Macaca fascicularis: one gene and its partners. The protein of the gene in region 1 purifies or fractionates together with the protein of each later gene. This does not show direct contact. Links are inferred from orthologs where the notes say so. Each region holds a gene or a part of one and is shown in the gene's direction. Other genes may lie near its edges.

Region 1 (5,308 bases):
TTTTCAATGTAACGATACGTGGGAAACTGTTCCTCATGACAATAGATACTCTCTAATAACATGATTTTAATGACTGCATGGTATTCCCTATTATGGATGTATTGTAATTTGTTTAACTAATCTCCCATTATTACACATTCAGTTTGTCTACAAGTGCTTGATAGTATAAACCATGTTGAGAAGAACAATCTTGCATACATCTTTCTGTACTTTTTTTATTCTTTTCCTTATGATAATTTCCTAGAAGTAAAATTTTGTTCTTCTCTTTAAGAAAATCTGTGCACTTTGGTTATTTTTATCTTTTTATTTCATTTTCTAGAAGTGGAATTGAATTTCATACACTACAAGCTATGTATGAGAGTGCCTGTTTCTGTACATTTTTTCCAACACTTGATATTTTATGTTGTTGTTGTTGTTATTATTATTATTATTATTTGAGACGGATTCTCGCCTGTCGCCCAGCCTGGAGGGCAGTGGTGCGATCTCCGCTCACTGCAACCTCCACCTCCAGTTCAATTGATTCTCTTGTCCCAGCCTCCTGAGTAGCTGGGACTACAGGTACCCACCACCACACCCGGCTAATTTTTGCATTTTTAGTAGAGATGGGGTTTCACCAGGTTGGCCAGGCTGATCTCTAACTCCTGACCTCAAGGGATCCTCCCACCTCGGGCTTCCCAAAGTGCTGGGATTACAAGCGTGAGCCACTGTGCCCGGCCCAACACTAGATATTTTAAATATTAGTTAATTTGACAGCCAAGAAAAATAGCATTTCAGGCAGGGCGCGGTGGTTTACGCCTGTAATCCCAGCACTTTGGGAGGCCAAGGCAAGCGGATCATGAGCAGGAGTTTGAGACCAGCCTGACCAACATGGTGAAACTCCGTCTCTACTAAAAATACAAAAATTAGCTGGGCATGGTGGTGCGAGCCTGTAATCCCAGTTACTCGGGAGGCTGAGGCAGGAGAATTCCTTGAACCCGGGAGATGAAGGTTGCAGTGAGCTGAGATCGCACCACTGCACTCCAGGCTGGGCGACAGAGCAAGACTCCATCTCAAAAAAAAAAATATATATATATATATAGAGAGAGAGAGAGAGAGAGAGAGAGAGCATTTTGTTGCTTATTTTGCAATTTCTTTTATTCATAAAGTTGGTCTACTGCTCATTTATATTTTATTTGTGAATTGCCCATTAATTTTTGGTCCTTTTTTTTTTTTTTTGAGACGGAGTCTCGCTTTGTCGCCCTGGCCGGATCTCTGCTCACTGCAAGCTCCGCCTCCCGGGTTTACGCCATTCTCCTACCTCAGCCTCCCGAGTAGCTGGGACTACAGGCGCCTGCCACCTCGCCCGGCTAGTTTTTTGTATTTTTTAGTAGAGACGGGGTTTCACCGTGTTAGCCAGGATGGTCTCGATCTCCTGACCTCGTGATTCGCCCGTCTCGGCCTCCCAAAGTGCTGGGATTACAGGCTTGAGCCACTGCGCCAGGCCCTTTTGGTCCATTTTTACATTGCGATGTTTACCTCATTTCTAATACTTTTAAAGAGATCTTGATATAAGAATATTAATCCTTTAACTGTAATGTATGCTGAAAATGTTTTTCAGTTTATCCTTTATCTTTCAATTTTGTTTATGATGCTTTTTGCCATATAGGGATTTAAAGTCTATGTCATCAAATTAGTTCAGTTTTTTCTCAATAGTTCTAAGTTTTATAATTATATTAGAAAAAGCTTGCCTCCCACAAAGTTATATAAATAATCGCTTATATTTACTCTCAGTCATTCATGGTTTTATTTTTTATATTAAGCTCTTGAATTCATCTGGAATTTTCTTTGGTGTATGGTGTAACATAGCTACCTAACTCCTCTCCTCCCCACAACATTAGTGGTTAAATATTTGTCCCAACAACAATTTTTTAGAAACCTTCATTTTCCCAATGATTTGAAATACCTGAGTCTCTCTTGACTGGGTATGCGCTGGGTCCTATTGTATATGTGTCCCTATTGACCTATAGAAAGTAATCACTAAGCATCAGCCTTGTCTGTGCAGGAGAAACTTCTGAAGCCACAGCAAAAGGCTTCCAGTACCTAAGGAAATTCAGAAAAGAGTAATGCATCAACCAATAACCATTTTTTCTTATTTCATTACAGAGAAGAGGTGAAGAGTCCAGTGAAATGGAGCAAATTTCAATCATTGAAAGATTCCCTTATCCCTTCCAGGTGAGTTACTTTCTCTCACCAAGTCTTGAAAGGCCCCTGTAACACAATTAGAAGGGGTGGTGGGGTGCAGGGCAGAGGGAAGGCTACGAGGACCCAGTAAATAGAAGTTGAGGTGGACAAAGATGCTGAACCAAGAAATGAGACCGGCATGGGTTGAGAATGTTTGCTTTTCTATTTACCTAATCTAATATAGTTTCTTTTAGTCTCTATACCTCAAAAAGAATACATAGCAGGACCAATTCTATCATAGTCTGTCTTGTCTATGATAACTGCATTGAGAAAGATGCTCTGCTTGTTGAGTGAGCATTTCACTTCCTTCTGGTTCTGATAATCTGTCTAATGGTGGTCATGTGGGTTGAAGACAGAAAAGGGGAGTAGTATTAGGAAGTTCAGTATGAGGAAGACTTATTAGACTTAGCATAAACCTAAATTCTGTTGTAATCTGGAAGAGCTGAAGTGCCACATATGCATCTGTTTAGGAGAGCAAGAACTACAAATTTGGTCTTCAGTTTGGCTTGCTTACATCCTGAGAACTCTGTAGGCCACATGTCGTGAATATAGCAGCCTCTGCAACAGTGAAAGCCAGAAAAGGAAGTGGAAAGTCTCAGGGGAGGGGGCTTTCTGTCATGGATTTATGAGCACAGCAAGACTAACAAGCAAAAAGAAAAATGTAAAAGGATCTTGTTCATGTCCCTGACTATATCAAAGTTACAAAACCTTTGAAAGAGGGGTATTTCAGATACAGTTTTTACTACCAATGCCTTTCAACAAAATGACATTGTTTGGCTGCACTAGTGAATAATGCTGAATAGCAGATAATTTTAAATTAATTTATATTTGACTTTATAATTTATTATGTGATGTCTATAAACTCTGTGAGGGTTGGAACCACATCTTATATATTTCGTGCATCTTCATAACACCTAGCATGATGCCTGTACATGGTTAAAAAAATACTATTTGACTTGATGATATTGCTTATTATATAACTTGCCCTTTTTGAAGTAGGTTTGTAGTTCCAAATTTGATTTATTTTGGCTAATATTGGTGAGGGGAAGCCACTAGGTAGTGGAGGTGGAGGTAATTAGCCATGAATTAAAATTTTACTCCATATTATCCAAGTGAATAACCTATATGTACTAATCAAGACAATTTATATAGATTATCACTTCAATTCTCTTCTATACAAAGTCAGAATTTAATAATAAGATAAAATACCCTTTGTTGGATAAACAAAAATGTTATCTCCAGCAAGGGCAGACTGAGACATTATAAAATAAGTTTATGCATGAATTGAAACACAAGTCAGGAGGGACCTAAGAGGATGAAAAATTCTAAGAGCTTTCAAATGCTACATCCTTAGATATGAAGAGTTCAGGAATCCTTCAGATAGTTCACATAACCTGAACACCACTGCTGACTGAAGATTCTGCCTTTCTTTGTTTTCTACAATGAATATACAAATTGTCCCCTAAGATTAGTACCTTGAAGGTCGTTCTCCTTTTTTTCTGAATCCTAACCGCGGAAGTCTGTGTTTTCATTGATCCAGGTTGTATATGATGAAGGGCCTCTCTACGTCTTCTCCCCAACTGAAGAACTAAGGAAGCGGTGGATTCACCAGCTCAAAAACGGTGAGAATTATTTGGAAAATAAATGTTTCCAAAGAAAGAAGGAAAGGAAGGAAGAGGAGATAGGTGGGAGGAAAAGGAAAGAAGGAAGAGCGAAACGAGAAAGAAAGAGAAAGGAGAAACGTAGAGAGAAAAGAAGAAAAAATGGATAGAAGGGGAGAAAAGAAAGAGAGAGGGAGGGGAGGAGGGAGACAGGAAGGAAGGAAGCAAGGAAAGAAGGAAGGGGGCCAGGCGCGGTGGCTCAAGCCTGTAATCCCAGCACTTTGGGAGGCCGAGACGGGCGAATCACGAGGTCAGGAGATCGAGACCATCCTGGCTAACACGGTGAAACCCCGTCTCTACTAAAAAATACAAAAAACTAGCCGGGCGAGGTGGCGGGCGCCTGTAGTCCCAGCTACTCGGGAGGCTGAGGCAGGAGAATGGCGTGAACCCGGGAGGCGGAGCTTGCAGTGAGCCGAGATCCGGCCACTGCGCTCCAGCCTGGGCTGCAGAGCGAGACTCCGTCTCAAAAAAAAAAAAAAAAAAAAAAAGAAGGAAGGGGATGAGGGAGGAAAGAAAGACAAATAGAAAAGAGAGAAACAAAGGAAAGTTTGTATTTTGCTTCAGTATTAGTAATACAACTGAGCTTAGTATTCTATCATATGAATAAAAGATAAAATATTAGACTAAGAGTTTCCCAGTTCTACCACTATCTCTCTAGTGCAATTTTGTAATTGTAGGCACCTCCATTTCTCTATTTATTAAAAAAAGTCCCATTTTTCACACTGAATACAAGGGTGATGTGGCATCCAATGGTTATGCAATATTTAGAATCCTAAGCATAAAATACCTAGCTCCAAAAAATTAAATAGATGATGTATGAGAGTGCTTGAAGTCAGAGTCAGAGAACCTGGTTTCAAGCCCTCTTTTACCACTTACAAACTGGGCGATTTCTGGCCAGAAGGTCAATAAGCTTCTTTGATGCTCAGTTTCTTCCTCTCAAAAGAGAATAATGGTAATTCATGCCACACCTACCTCTGGGGTTGTTGTAAGGATTAAATGAAGTAATAATACATGTAAAAGCACATGGAAAACTGTAAATCACTGTACATGAAAGCACTGTACATCTCTTTGTTGTGGATAAATATTTCCCAAGGAAATATTTTATATTCCTTGCTTTGTGAGGACCTAAACTTGAACAGTTTCAGCATTTCACATCAACCATACAGTGTGTTCAGATAAACTTGACTGTAAATGCTTGCAGCACAGGATGCATGCACACATATTTGCCTATATATATAGCCACATGTCAAGTGACTGAGAGATTAACTGGTTGAGTTGACATCAGGAAAGGCTGCCTAGAGAAACAGGAAGGATGGCAGACTGATAATGGTATGGTTGGGTTATTGCATGACAGCTCTTTGTCTTAATAAACATTTAGATTCTGATACTCACTGGCTGGCTATACCAGCCTTGTACACTCCATTGAA
Region 2 (6,003 bases), on another chromosome or scaffold:
TCAAGATCAGCCTGGGCAATATAGTAAGACCCCATCTTAAAAAAAAAAATTGGGGCCTAGGCACTGTGGCTCACGCCTGTAATCTCGGCATTTTGGGGTGCAGAGGCAGGAGGAGCCCTCGAGGCAAGGAGTTCAAGACTAGCCTGAACAACAAAGGGAGACTATGTCGGCAAAAAAATAAAAAAAAAAAATTAGCCAGGCATGGTGATACACGTCTGTGGTCCCAGCTACTCAGGAGGCTGAGGTGGGGAGGAAAGCTCGAGTGCAGTGAGCTGTGATCACACCACTGCACTCCAGCCTTAGTGACAGTGAGAGATCCTGTCTCAGCACTTTATCCATTACGGGGCAGACGAGGAGAGTACAAATAAACATAGCATTTTTCTCCATATAGTACAATGATAAACCTCACAATGGCGACCTGCAAACACTGAAAATTCTGGAAGTGCTTTTCCAATTGTAAGAGATTTTTTTCTTTTTCTTTTTTTTTTTTTTTTTTTTGAGACGGAGTCTCGCTCTGTAGCCCGGGCTGGAGTGCAGTGGCCGGATCTCAGCTCACTGCAAGCTCCGCCTCCCGGGTTCACGCCATTCTCCTGCCTCAGCCTCCCGAGTAGCTGGGACTACAGGCGCCCACCACCTCGCCTGGCTAGTTTTTTGTATTTTTTAGTAGAGACGGGGTTTCACCGTGTTAGCCAGGATGGTCTCGATCTCCTGACCTCGTGATCCGCCCGTCTCGGCCTCCCAAAGTGCTGGGATTACAGGCTTGAGCCACCGCGCCCGGCCTCTTTTTTTCTTTTTTTGAGATGGACTCTCGCTCTGTCACCCAGGCTGGACTGCCATGGCACAATCTCAGCTCACCGCAACCTCTGCTTCCCAGGTTAAAACGACTCTCCTGTCTCAGTCTCCTGAGTAGCTGGGATTACAGGTATGCGCCACCACACCCGGCTAATTTTTGTATTTTTAGTAGAAACGGGGTTTCATCATGTTGTCCAGGCTTGTCTTGAACTCCTGACCTTGTGATCTGCCCATCTTGGCCTCCCAAAGTGCTGGGATTACAGGTGTGACCCACCATGCCCGGCTGAAAGATTACATTTTAACTGGGTTGAGTGAGAGGGTTTATATATGGCAAAAACTTTTGCCTGGACACAAGACTTGGTCCCATGAGAGCTGGGCAACAGTGAATGAGTCTCTTCTCTCTGCTTTTCAACTCATCTATAAAATAGGGACAGTCCTTCTTGTCTACTTTATAGAAGTGTTTGTGGGGTACGGGATTGTGAGAAGTTTTACGAAAAGGTGCACCCATGAAATGTTGCTTGAGGAACACTTATTTGTTTCCTGGTCTCCTCCCATTAGACTGTGAGCATCTCAGGGGCACCAAGTCTGATCCTGTGTCCAGGACCTGGCAGTCAACTGGCTCAGTGACTGGCTGTCGAACTAAACTATTGCTCTAATGTAATCACTTTGTATTACAAATCTTTGTAAATCAGCTATCTACGTCGGGGTTACCTAGAGAACTCTGACTAAAGGAAATCCATTGCATTTAGACACTATGACTCACAGTGTGTAGTGATATCTCCAAATTTCAACACATTTTCCCTTTCCCACGTACATTATGCATTTGTGGGAAGTTCTTTTTTTCTTTTTCTTTTTCTTTTTTTTTTTGCGTTCATTGATTTACAACATCTATATCTATCTACATGAATAGCGTGGCTTCTTCATTTTCCTTTGTGAGTGCCTGCAAATCATCTTAATCTGATTGGCTAAGGTATCTGCTTGTTCTTTCGTTAGACCGGGAAATGGAGAGGAAAAAGAAAAAAAGAGACCGGGCGCGGTGGCTCACGCCTGTAATCCCAGCACTTTGGGAGACCGAGGTGGGCGGATCTCGAGATCAAGAGATCGAGACCATCCTGGCCAATATAGTGAAACCCCATCTCTACTAAAAATAAAAAAATTAGCTAAGCGTGATGGCGCGCGCCTGTAGTCCCAGCTACTCGGGAGGCTGAGGCAGGAGAATCGCTTGAACCCAGGAGGCGGAGGTTGCAGTGAGCCAAGATCGCCAACCTGGCGACAGACTGAGACTCCAAAAAAAGAAAAAAAGTGTCTGAAATGCCATTTTATGGGCTCCGGTAGCGACGTAGCGCGAAAGCCAAAGTCACTTTAAGTTTATGATTGGTTATTATGTCTGTCAGTCACGTTGCCGGAAATCCTGTCCAATTATCCTGCTTATACTGTGCCCTCCCTTTCCGATTGGTTTTGGGAGGGGTTTAAGCTGGAAGGGTCGTCATTGGTTCGCCGCTACGGCTCGGCCTGAGCCCACCCCGGCTCGGTTGCCGTGGTTTCAGGCCCGGCCAGCCCGCCCGCTAGCTGACAGCGCGACTCAGATAGGAGGGAAGTAGGTCCGTTGGTCGATCGGGAACGAGGCTCCGGCGGCCAGGCCCGCGCGGAGCCGTTGCCATGGCAGCCGCCGCCGGGGACGCGGACGACGAGCGGCGCTCGGGCCACTCGAGCTCGGAGGGCGAGTGCGCGGTGGCGCCGGAGCCGCTGACGGGCGCTGAGGGCCTCTTCTCTTTCGCCGACTTCGGGTCTGCGCTGGGCGGCGGCGCGGGCCTCTCGAGCCGAGCGTCCGGCGGGGCCCAGTCGCCGCTGCGCTACCTGCATGTCCTGTGGCAGCAGGATGCGGAGCCGCGCGACGAGCTGCGCTGCAAGATCCCCGCCGGCCGACTGAGGCGCGCCGCCAGGCCCCACCGGCGGCTCGGGCCCACGGGCAAGGAGGTGCACGGTGAGCTGCGCGAGCGGCGCGGGGGCCCGGGGCGGAGCAACCCGGATGAGGGGCGGGGCTTTGGAGGACGGCTGGCGGCGCTTTGGTCGCCCCCGACCCTCAGTCGCGGTCCCCCGACGTCTGCGCTGAGGGCCACACTGACCCTTGAGTCTCCTTTCAGTAATGACGGTGATGATGGTTTTTAAAAAAGTCTTCCTGCTCTGAGACAGTCACCCCAGACTTCTCTCACTGGGGAATTTCTGAATGGAAACTTCCCATGACTCGGAACACTTATTGGTGGATAATAAAATGAGGCACTGGAGAACACTTTTATTATCAGGGAGAGGGGAGGCCAGAACCTGCAGCCAAGTCGTATCAGCTTGTTTAAATGCACGGACTTGGACTCCTTTACCACGTTAAGACCTTAGGGCAAATGATAGACCCTTTAAACTTTAGTTTACTTTTTAAATTTTTTTATTTTTTATTTTATTTATTATGATTATTATTATTATATTTTTTGAGACGGAGTCTCTCTCTGTTGCCCAGGCTGGAGTGCAGTGGCGTGATCTCGGTTCACTGCAACCTCCGCCCCCCGGGTTTAAGCGATTCTCCTGCCTCAGCCTCCCCAGTAGCTGGGGTTACAGGTGCCCGCTACCACCCCTGGTTAATTTTTGTAATTTTAGTAGAGATGGGGTTTCGCCATGTTGGCCAGGCTAGTCTCGAACTCCTGACCTCAGGTGATCCACCTGCCTCGGCCTCCCAAAGTACTGGCATAACAGGCATGAGCCATTGGCCTGGCCTCAGCCTTAGTTTTCTCATTTGTAAAATGGGTTGAGTTAAGTAAGGTAATGGACGTTTAGTTGTTATGCTGCTTTTGTTGTGCCCCAAACATGCTGATACATGATCATTTGTCCTCACAAGAACTCTTTGAGATATAGGAATTCTTCCCATTTTACTGAAGAGGAAACTGAGGCTCAGAGAAATTGTCTTATTCCAGGTCACATAACAAGTGGCTGTTGCTGATATTAGAATCTGGGTCAGCCCGACTCAAACTCCTGCTCTGGTATATCTACCATATTGTCTTCTATATTACATGGGTGACACCGAAACCCAGGCACTGAGAGATTAAGAATGGGGACTTTCGGGATTTCTTCCAGGACTGGCTATGACTAGCCATATTTTCGTCATGTTGCAAAGATTAAGAATTTGGAAGTGTTGTATAGACTGTACAGTGCTGTATGAAAGCAAGGAATTGTTATGTATCTGAATTGCAATTTTTGACCATATCTCCAATGACAAAAACATTGCTTTCCATTAGCCATTGGAGGGGGAAAAACTTTCTGCTTAGGAAATACCAAATTTAGGCAAATCATTTGGGAACGACCTGCTTTGAAGGAGAATATAAGATGATCTGTGTGACCAGCTCACAAAGAGCTTCCATGTAAATCATTTACAATAACTCAGGGCTGGCAGAACAACTCAGCCTTGTTGTGCAGATGATAGACCTGAGGCCCAGCGGGGTTAACTAGCTTGCTCAAGGTCACCCTGCGACTACAAGTGATAGAGAGGAAATCTGGTTCCAAAAAAAGTCTTGGAGGATTTGCAGGAGCATGTGGCCTTTGTACTAGCTCCGCCTCATTTCAAGTTCCTCCTTGTTCCCAGGGCACTGTCTTTCTTTTCTTGTTTGAAGACAGAGTGTCACTTTACCACCCAGGCTGCTGTGCAAGTGGTGCAATCTTGGCTTACTGCCTCAGCCTCCCAAGTAGCTGGGACTACAGGCCCACGCCACCACACCCAGCTAGTTTTTGTATTTTTAGTAGAGAGAGGGTTTTACCATGTTAGATAGATTTAAGTTAGAACTTAACCTAAGATTTAGAAATATGTTTTCTTTCTTTTTTTTTTTTTTGAGATCGAGCGTTGCTCTGCCACCCAGGCTGGAGTGCCGTGGGGTGATTTTGGGCTCAAGTGATTCTTGTGTCTCAGCCTCCTAAGTAGCTGGGATTACAGGCATGCACCACCACACCTGCCTACTCTTTGTATTTTTATTTTATTTATTTATTTATTTTTATTTTATTTTACTTATTTATGTATTTATTTATTTATTTTGAGACGGAGTCTCATCTGTCGCCCAGGCTGGAGTGCAGTGGCGCAATCTTGGCTCACTGCAACCTCTGGCTCTCAGGTTCAAGCGATTCTCCTGCCTTAGCCTCCCGAGTAGTTGGGATAACAGGCATGCACCACCATGCCTGGCTAATTTTTGTATTTTTAGTAGAGACAGGATTTCACCTTACTGGCCAGGCTGGTCTCAAACTCCTGACCTCGTGATCCACCCACCTTGGCCTCTCAAACTGTTGGGATTACAAGCGTGAGCCACTGCACTCGGCCTTTTTTTTTTTTCCCTTTTTTTTTTTTTTTTTTTTTTTTTTTTTGGTGACAGTCTCACTCTGTTGCCCAAGCTGGAGTACAGTGGCACAATCTTGGCTCACTGCAACCTCTGCCTCCTGGGCTTAAGCGATTCTCCTGCCTGAGCCTCCCAAGTAGCTGGGATTATAGGTGTGCACCCCCATGCCCAACTAATTTTTTGTATTTTGCTATAGACAAGGTTTCACCATGTTGCCTAGGGTGGTTTCAAACTCTAGAGCACGGGCAATCTGCCCGCCTCAGCTTTCCAACGTTCTGGGATTACAGGCATGAGTCACCACGTCTGGCTATTTTTGTATTTTTAGTAGAGATGGGGTTTCACCTATTGGCTGGGCTGGTCTTGAACTCCTAGCCTCAAGTGATCTACCTGCCTTGGCCTCCCAAAGTACTGGGATTATAGGCATGAACCACTGTGCCCGGCCATCATAGCTTTTTTTTTTTTTTTTTTTTTCTCCCTGAGACAGAGTCTCGCTTTGTCTCGCAGTGACGTAATCTCAGCTCACTGTGGCCTCCACCTTCTGGCTTCAACCCATTCTCCTACCTCAGCCTCCTAAGTAGCTGGTATTACAGGCGCACACCACCACACCTGGCTAGATGGCTATTTTTTTGTTTTTGTTTTTGTTTTCTAAGACAGAGTATCACTCTGTCACCCAGGCTGGAGTGCAGTGGCACGATTTTGGCTTACTGCAACCTCCACATTCTGGGTTCAAGCGATTCTCCTGCCTCAGCCTCCAGAGTAGCTGGGATTACAGGCATGCGCCACCACACTCAGCTAATTTTCTTGTAGTTTTAGTAGAGACGGGCTTTCACCATGTTGTCCAGGCTGG
Region 3 (5,780 bases), on another chromosome or scaffold:
GTAATCTCCAAATCTCAGTGTCTTAAGAAAAGTTTATTTGCTTATACTACTTGGTGGAGAATTCTGCTCCATTCAAGACTCAGGCTGTTGGAGGTTTCACATTTGTGTACCTGTACCACCTAAGCTATGAGCCCATCTCAGTCACCATGGCAGTGGGGAGAGCACTGAGATGAGGATGTCTTGCATCAGTAATTAAAAGCTTTGTCTCAGAAATGATAGACATTCTTGCTGGTCATAGCCCATAGGCCAGAACTAGTCACGCAGTCCCACCTAACTGCAGCAGGGCTTGGAAATGCAAGGGAGCACATGGGATCTTGCCACACCCAGGATTACATGATGTGCTGGTTGATGGTTGTGGAGACTCCCAGTTAAAAGGGTTGTTACTACATCTGCACTAAGCCTGGGGCAGAGAGCAGGGAGGCCCCAGAGCCCTGCACTTCCTGGAGAAGAACCTTTAAAAGGAGGACCACAGTGTGCAGTGTTCAGGCCACTCTGGGGCCTTTCTACAATTCCAAGCTGTTAGTGTGGATCTGTGGACAAGAAGGTGTGGTCCTTCTGAAACATCTCCATACCATCCATTCCTCCTTTTGAGCAGCATCTAGAGTGAAAAATCCTTAATACAGCATCAAAGGGCTAACCTAAGTGTGAGTCAGGTGCCTTTCCTGATTCCACAGTCTTCTGTGCCTCTCTGCCCATGAAAGCATGTGCCATCCTGTGTTGTAATGATTTAATCCCTTGTGTATACTCCACGCTGGACTATAAGTCTTGCTGTATTTACAGCTGAATCCCCAGCATCATAGTACAGTACCTGGTAAAGTAGGCTGACTAGTAAGTGTTTGAAGAACAAATTCAAATTCAAATGTAGTTGACTTTATTTATTTATTTATTTATTTATTTATTTTTGAGGTGGAGTCTCACTCTTTCATCCAGGCTGAAGTGGCATGATCTTTGCTCACTGCAACCTCCACCCCCCAGGTTCAAGTGATTCTCCTGCCTCAGCCTCCTGAGTAGCTGGGATTACAGGTCCGTGCCACCACACCCAACTAATTTTTGTATTTTTAGTAGAGACGGTTACTCCATGTTGGCCAGGCCGGTCTCGAACTCTCGACCTCAGGTGATCCACCTGCCTTGGCCTCCCAAAGTGCTAGGATTACAGACATGAGCCACTGCACCTGGCCGTTGATATTGTTATTAAGCTTTTACACTGTTTGGGCAACTGTGATATAAATCTTCTGCCATGACCACCTTTCTCCATCTTAAACATTCCCAATTAAATGTCCCTTCAATATGAGCAAGTAGAATACAGGTGTTAAGGAACCAGACGACCTGAAATCAAAACTCAGACATTTATGAGCTGTGTGACCTTGGGCAAGTTACCAAACCTTTCTGTGTTTCATTTCCCTTATCTCTGCAATGGAGATTAGAATGATTTCTATCTTACAGGTGCCTATGAGGACTAAAGCACTTCAAAGAGCACTGGCATGCAAGTTGCCACAACTGTCCATTGCTATTGTAATAGCCCAGGTTTCTCCTTGTTCCCCCTCCACTTCCCTGTGTTCCCATATACTTTGTAGGTAACCCTGTCACAGTCCTTCCCAATGGCCTTTTGCTTTCCCTAGACTTTTCCAAAAGTGGTGCCAGGCCCGCTTAGGAATAGCTGACACAGGAGGATCACTTGAGCCCAGTAGGTCGAGGCTGCAGAGAGCCCTGTTCATGCCACTGAACTCCAGCGTGGGTAACAGAGTTAGACTCTGTCTCAAAAAAGAAAATAAAACAAGACAAAAAAATAAAACAGACCTAGGACTCTAATGAGACCAGAGGGGTGTCCTGCAATGATTCATGGGAACACTGGTCCCATGAAGTGTTCCAGGCAAAACAAAAATTCTGTAGTGAATTAAGTGTAGAGAAACCAGAGAAACTCTATACAATGTGTGTTAGAACATTAAAGGTTTGTAATAAACTGTATTCACCCATTGTATTCTCAACGTGCTTACCTTTTGTTTGTTTGTTTTGTAGAACACCTATAGCACCCTTCTGAATGCAACTGGAAGTATTGGTGCCTAAGGAGCTACACAAGCCTGAACCTCCTGCTACTTGCCAGATGTATGAGCTTGAGCCATTCCCTTACCCCATGGGGGGATCACAGCTTCCAACATGTAAAATAGCAGTCATAGTGCCAACTTCTTCACATTATAAGTGATGAATAAGATAGCATGACAACTGCCTGCCTGGTCCACATGGGAGCTGGGCCACTGTTCTGTCCTCCCCTCCACGCTGCCAACACCATGATGCTGGCAGATGTGACCAATGCTCCTGCCTGTTCGGGTGATGATGGCTCTGAGGAAACAAAGAACACAGCAGCTCACTGGTCTCCGTGCTGATGCTCCCAGGTAGCCACTGCTCCTCTTAGTTTGGGATTGTTTTTAAATTTTTTCCATTTTGGGTAATATTTAGTCTCCACATGATCATTCTTACAGATCTTTATTGAGTACAAGTGTATGGGGCAAGAAGCAATGGGGAGAATTTTAGGTTTTCTATGGTTCAGTGGAGAAGCAGTCCTCTCCCCATCAGCAAACATTATTTTTATCCTTAGGAGTCCTGTTGTTATTCTCTGTGCACAGTGGAGGAAGTCAGTTTGAGAGAGAAAACTTCTGTTTCCGGTACTTTGATTTTCTTTTATATCAAATATCTTGTATCATCTATTCATTTCAAGGTGTAGATCTGGGACCTGTGCCATCCTCAAATGTGCGGGCAGGGTTTTGTTTTGGTTTGGTTTTTCACCGAGCACCAGCTTCCTCTGTTGCCTGAACAGCTGTGTTTGGTTCTTGGCAGCAAGTGTCTTCTGGAGCTTAGAACTGCCTTGCCAGGAACATGTGTAGAGTGTCTTGAATGAAAAATAAACCTTGGAAAATTTGTTTCTTGCCGTTAAGAAGCATTTGGTAGCTATACATGTTGGGTGCCTAACAAGAACAAGAAATTTTAGTTATAACAGGGGTTCACTTTCATCTACAAGGTAAGAAGTGATAGTTAGAACAATGGAATTGATGTACAACAGCAGCTTATTTGTGACTTCTAGTCTTTATTCCAAAATGTTTATTAAACTTAGCTGTATACAAAATTATGGGTGACAGCATGAATATCAGGCATGGAGGGGAGAAAATACAGGGATTTGCTTCAAGGACAAATTTGAATAGGAGAGTTGGGATTTTATTTGCAAAGAGTTAGGAGCTGTCGAAGGTGTTTAAGCAAACACTGAAGGTGATCAAAATGGTGCCCTAGGGAAATTAATCAGGCAATGATGAATGGGGTGAATTGGTGAGGCAGAAAGAAGGGAAGCAATCAGGAGACAATTATAATAAGATGTGACTTGGGGCCACTGGAGAGAATGAGAACAGAGCCTGGGCGAGATGATAGACCTTGTGCTGTGGATCAGTGGTTGGGGCCATGGCTCCTGGGTATCTGGGGGTAAAATCCTCTAGTCCTGCCAATATCCCATAACTTCCAAATCTTTATCTCTAGCCCATTTCTCTCTCTTGAGCACCAGACCCATTTACATTCCACTGAAAAATACTATTCAAAATTCCTAAAACAGAACTACTCATCATCACTCCCCAAACTGCTCCTTCACTTCTCTCACCACATCCTTTTAATTCTTGTTCTTGACTGATAATGTCTCTAAGGTAAGCAGTTAAACACATCTTTCTCTCCTGGGGCTTATGAACTGAGTGCGAAACAAGCATGGGTCTGTTGGCAGTGGGGTGCATGTGAATGTTTAGCAGCCAGCTTGCAAAGTTCCAGAACATTTGACCATGAGTTCTTGTGAGCTGGCATCAGCTGACTCCAGCACACCACTGTGACCAGAGTCACAAGATCAGCTTTATTACTGGTAAACTGGAGAATCTGACTTGATGCTTTAGCTCCAACCTTCCAGACATATATAACTGAATTGAGAAGTTTATGATACAATAATATTATCATATATACTGGTAATAACAGTCATCTCTAAAGATGTTAGGCTTTGTGAAGTGCTTTACCATTTATCCTCACATTCCTCAGAAGGCCCTGGAAGATGTTTAGCTTGCCCCCTTACACTCATCTGCTGGAGGAATTCAGAGGAGGGCGGGAAAAGGTGGCAGGAAGGGCACTCACAGGGGAGGGAGCCTGTCACGGGCCAGGAGGGCTGGAAGGATTTGAGCAGATGGGGGAAACGGAGAGAAGCCAGGTTTGGAGCAGACCTCACAGACCGCCTAGAGCCTGAGTTGGCACTGAGAAGTCATGGGAGCTTCTGAGCAGGACAGTGGCAGGCCTGAGGCAGGGTCACAGAGGGGCAGCCCTGCAGTGAATGTACCATGGTCCAGAACGGGACTCCTTGAAGGTGCAGAGAGCTGAAGCTGCTACTTCAGCTGGGTCACTATTGCAAATGGCCCGAAGAGAACCATGGAAGCCTCAACGGGTACCATTCATTCATTCAATGCATATTGACTACGTGCCTATTATGTGCCAGGCACTTCTAGGCATTAGTAATACAGAGTGAATAAAACAACCCCTGCTTCATGAGATTTACATACTTGTCTGTTACTGGAAGGAAACAGACAATAAATAAAATTATTCAAGAATCTCAAGCAGGCCAGATGGTGATAAATGCTGTAGAGAGAAATAAAGGGGACAGGGCATGCCAGGATCGGGTTGGGGTGGCAGTCTAAGATTATCCAATTAGGCTTCATTGAGGAGATGACATTTTAGCAAAGATCTGAAAGAAACCAATGATGGTAGTGATGGAAACAGGCATAAATGTGCCAGACCAAGGAGGCAGATCATAAAGAAATCATTTTAAAAGGAGAGAGGATGGGCACATCAAAATCTCAGAAATCACACTTAAAGAACTTATCCACCTAACCAAACACCACTTGTTCCCCAAAAACTACTGGAAAAAAAAAAGTCTACCTTAAAAAAAAAATTGAGGCCAGGCTCATGCCTGTAATCCTAGCATTTTGGGAGGTTGAGGTAGGAGAATCATTTGAGACCAGGAGTTCAAGACCAACCTGGGCAACAAAGCAGGACCCTGTCTCTACAAAAATAAAAGTAAAAAATTAGTTGAGTGTGGTGGTGCAGGAGGATTTCTTGAACCCAGAAGGTTGAGGCTATAGTGAGCCATGACTGTGCCACTGCACTCCAGCCTGGGCAACAGAGCCAGATCTTATTTCATAAATAAATAAATAAAGAGAGAGACAGAGAGAATCTCACAATTATTTAGGCAGTGAATTGGAAAACAATAGTTTTGGGTTATAAAACCAAAATTGTAAAATACAATTAAACCAAACTTGAAATGTGTTTGACCTTTATGGTTTGAAAAGAGTCAGTTAAATATTTCAGTTATTGTTTACTGGATCTTACGGAGGGCATTTTATGCTATAGTAGTATTTGTAGTGTTTATAACACTAGGGGATTGAGACAGTCTTATCAGAGTGAAATGAATAGCAAATAGAGACTCATCATAACAATATGCTTCAGATTCCCCAGTTACTCCCAGTGCCTTAGTAATGTACCTTTTTTACCTCGTGCTATAAACATTTATCCTTGGCCCAGGCACGGTGGCTCATGCCTGCAATCCCAGCACTTTGGGAGGCCGAGGAAGGAGGATCAGTTGAGGTCAGGAGTTTGAGACCAGCCTAGGTCGAGATGATGAAACCCTGTCTCTACTAAAAATACAAAAATTAGCTGAGCATGGTGGCACACAACTGTAATCCCAGCTACTCACGAGGCTGAGGCAGGAGAATCAC

Evidence for each region.
Region 2: the proteins of BTK (region 1) and ANKRD54 purify together in Homo sapiens (affinity purification with mass spectrometry; 4 studies listed by BioGRID and IntAct, counting the BioPlex papers as one, with this or other methods). This does not show direct contact. The link is inferred for Macaca fascicularis from reciprocal best matches to the Homo sapiens genes BTK and ANKRD54.
Region 3: the proteins of BTK (region 1) and BLNK purify together in Homo sapiens (affinity purification with western blotting; 5 studies listed by BioGRID and IntAct, with this or other methods). This does not show direct contact. The link is inferred for Macaca fascicularis from reciprocal best matches to the Homo sapiens genes BTK and BLNK.

What each region holds. Positions count from the first base shown.
Region 1 is NC_088395.1:108,038,752-108,044,059, reverse strand, and holds part of BTK (tyrosine-protein kinase BTK), read left to right. Parts: intron 1-2,142; coding exon 2,143-2,211; intron 2,212-3,760; coding exon 3,761-3,842; intron 3,843-5,308. UniProt on the Homo sapiens protein: Non-receptor tyrosine kinase indispensable for B lymphocyte development, differentiation and signaling. Binding of antigen to the B-cell antigen receptor (BCR) triggers signaling that ultimately leads to B-cell activation.
Region 2 is NC_088384.1:13,777,022-13,783,024, forward strand, and holds the start of ANKRD54 (ankyrin repeat domain-containing protein 54), read left to right. Parts: upstream 1-2,359; 5' UTR 2,360-2,451; coding exon 2,452-2,776; intron 2,777-6,003. UniProt on the Homo sapiens protein: Plays an important role in regulating intracellular signaling events associated with erythroid terminal differentiation.
Region 3 is NC_088383.1:105,211,878-105,217,657, reverse strand, and holds the start of BLNK (B-cell linker protein), read left to right. Parts: upstream 1-2,136; 5' UTR 2,137-2,307; coding exon 2,308-2,390; intron 2,391-5,780. UniProt on the Homo sapiens protein: Functions as a central linker protein, downstream of the B-cell receptor (BCR), bridging the SYK kinase to a multitude of signaling pathways and regulating biological outcomes of B-cell function and development.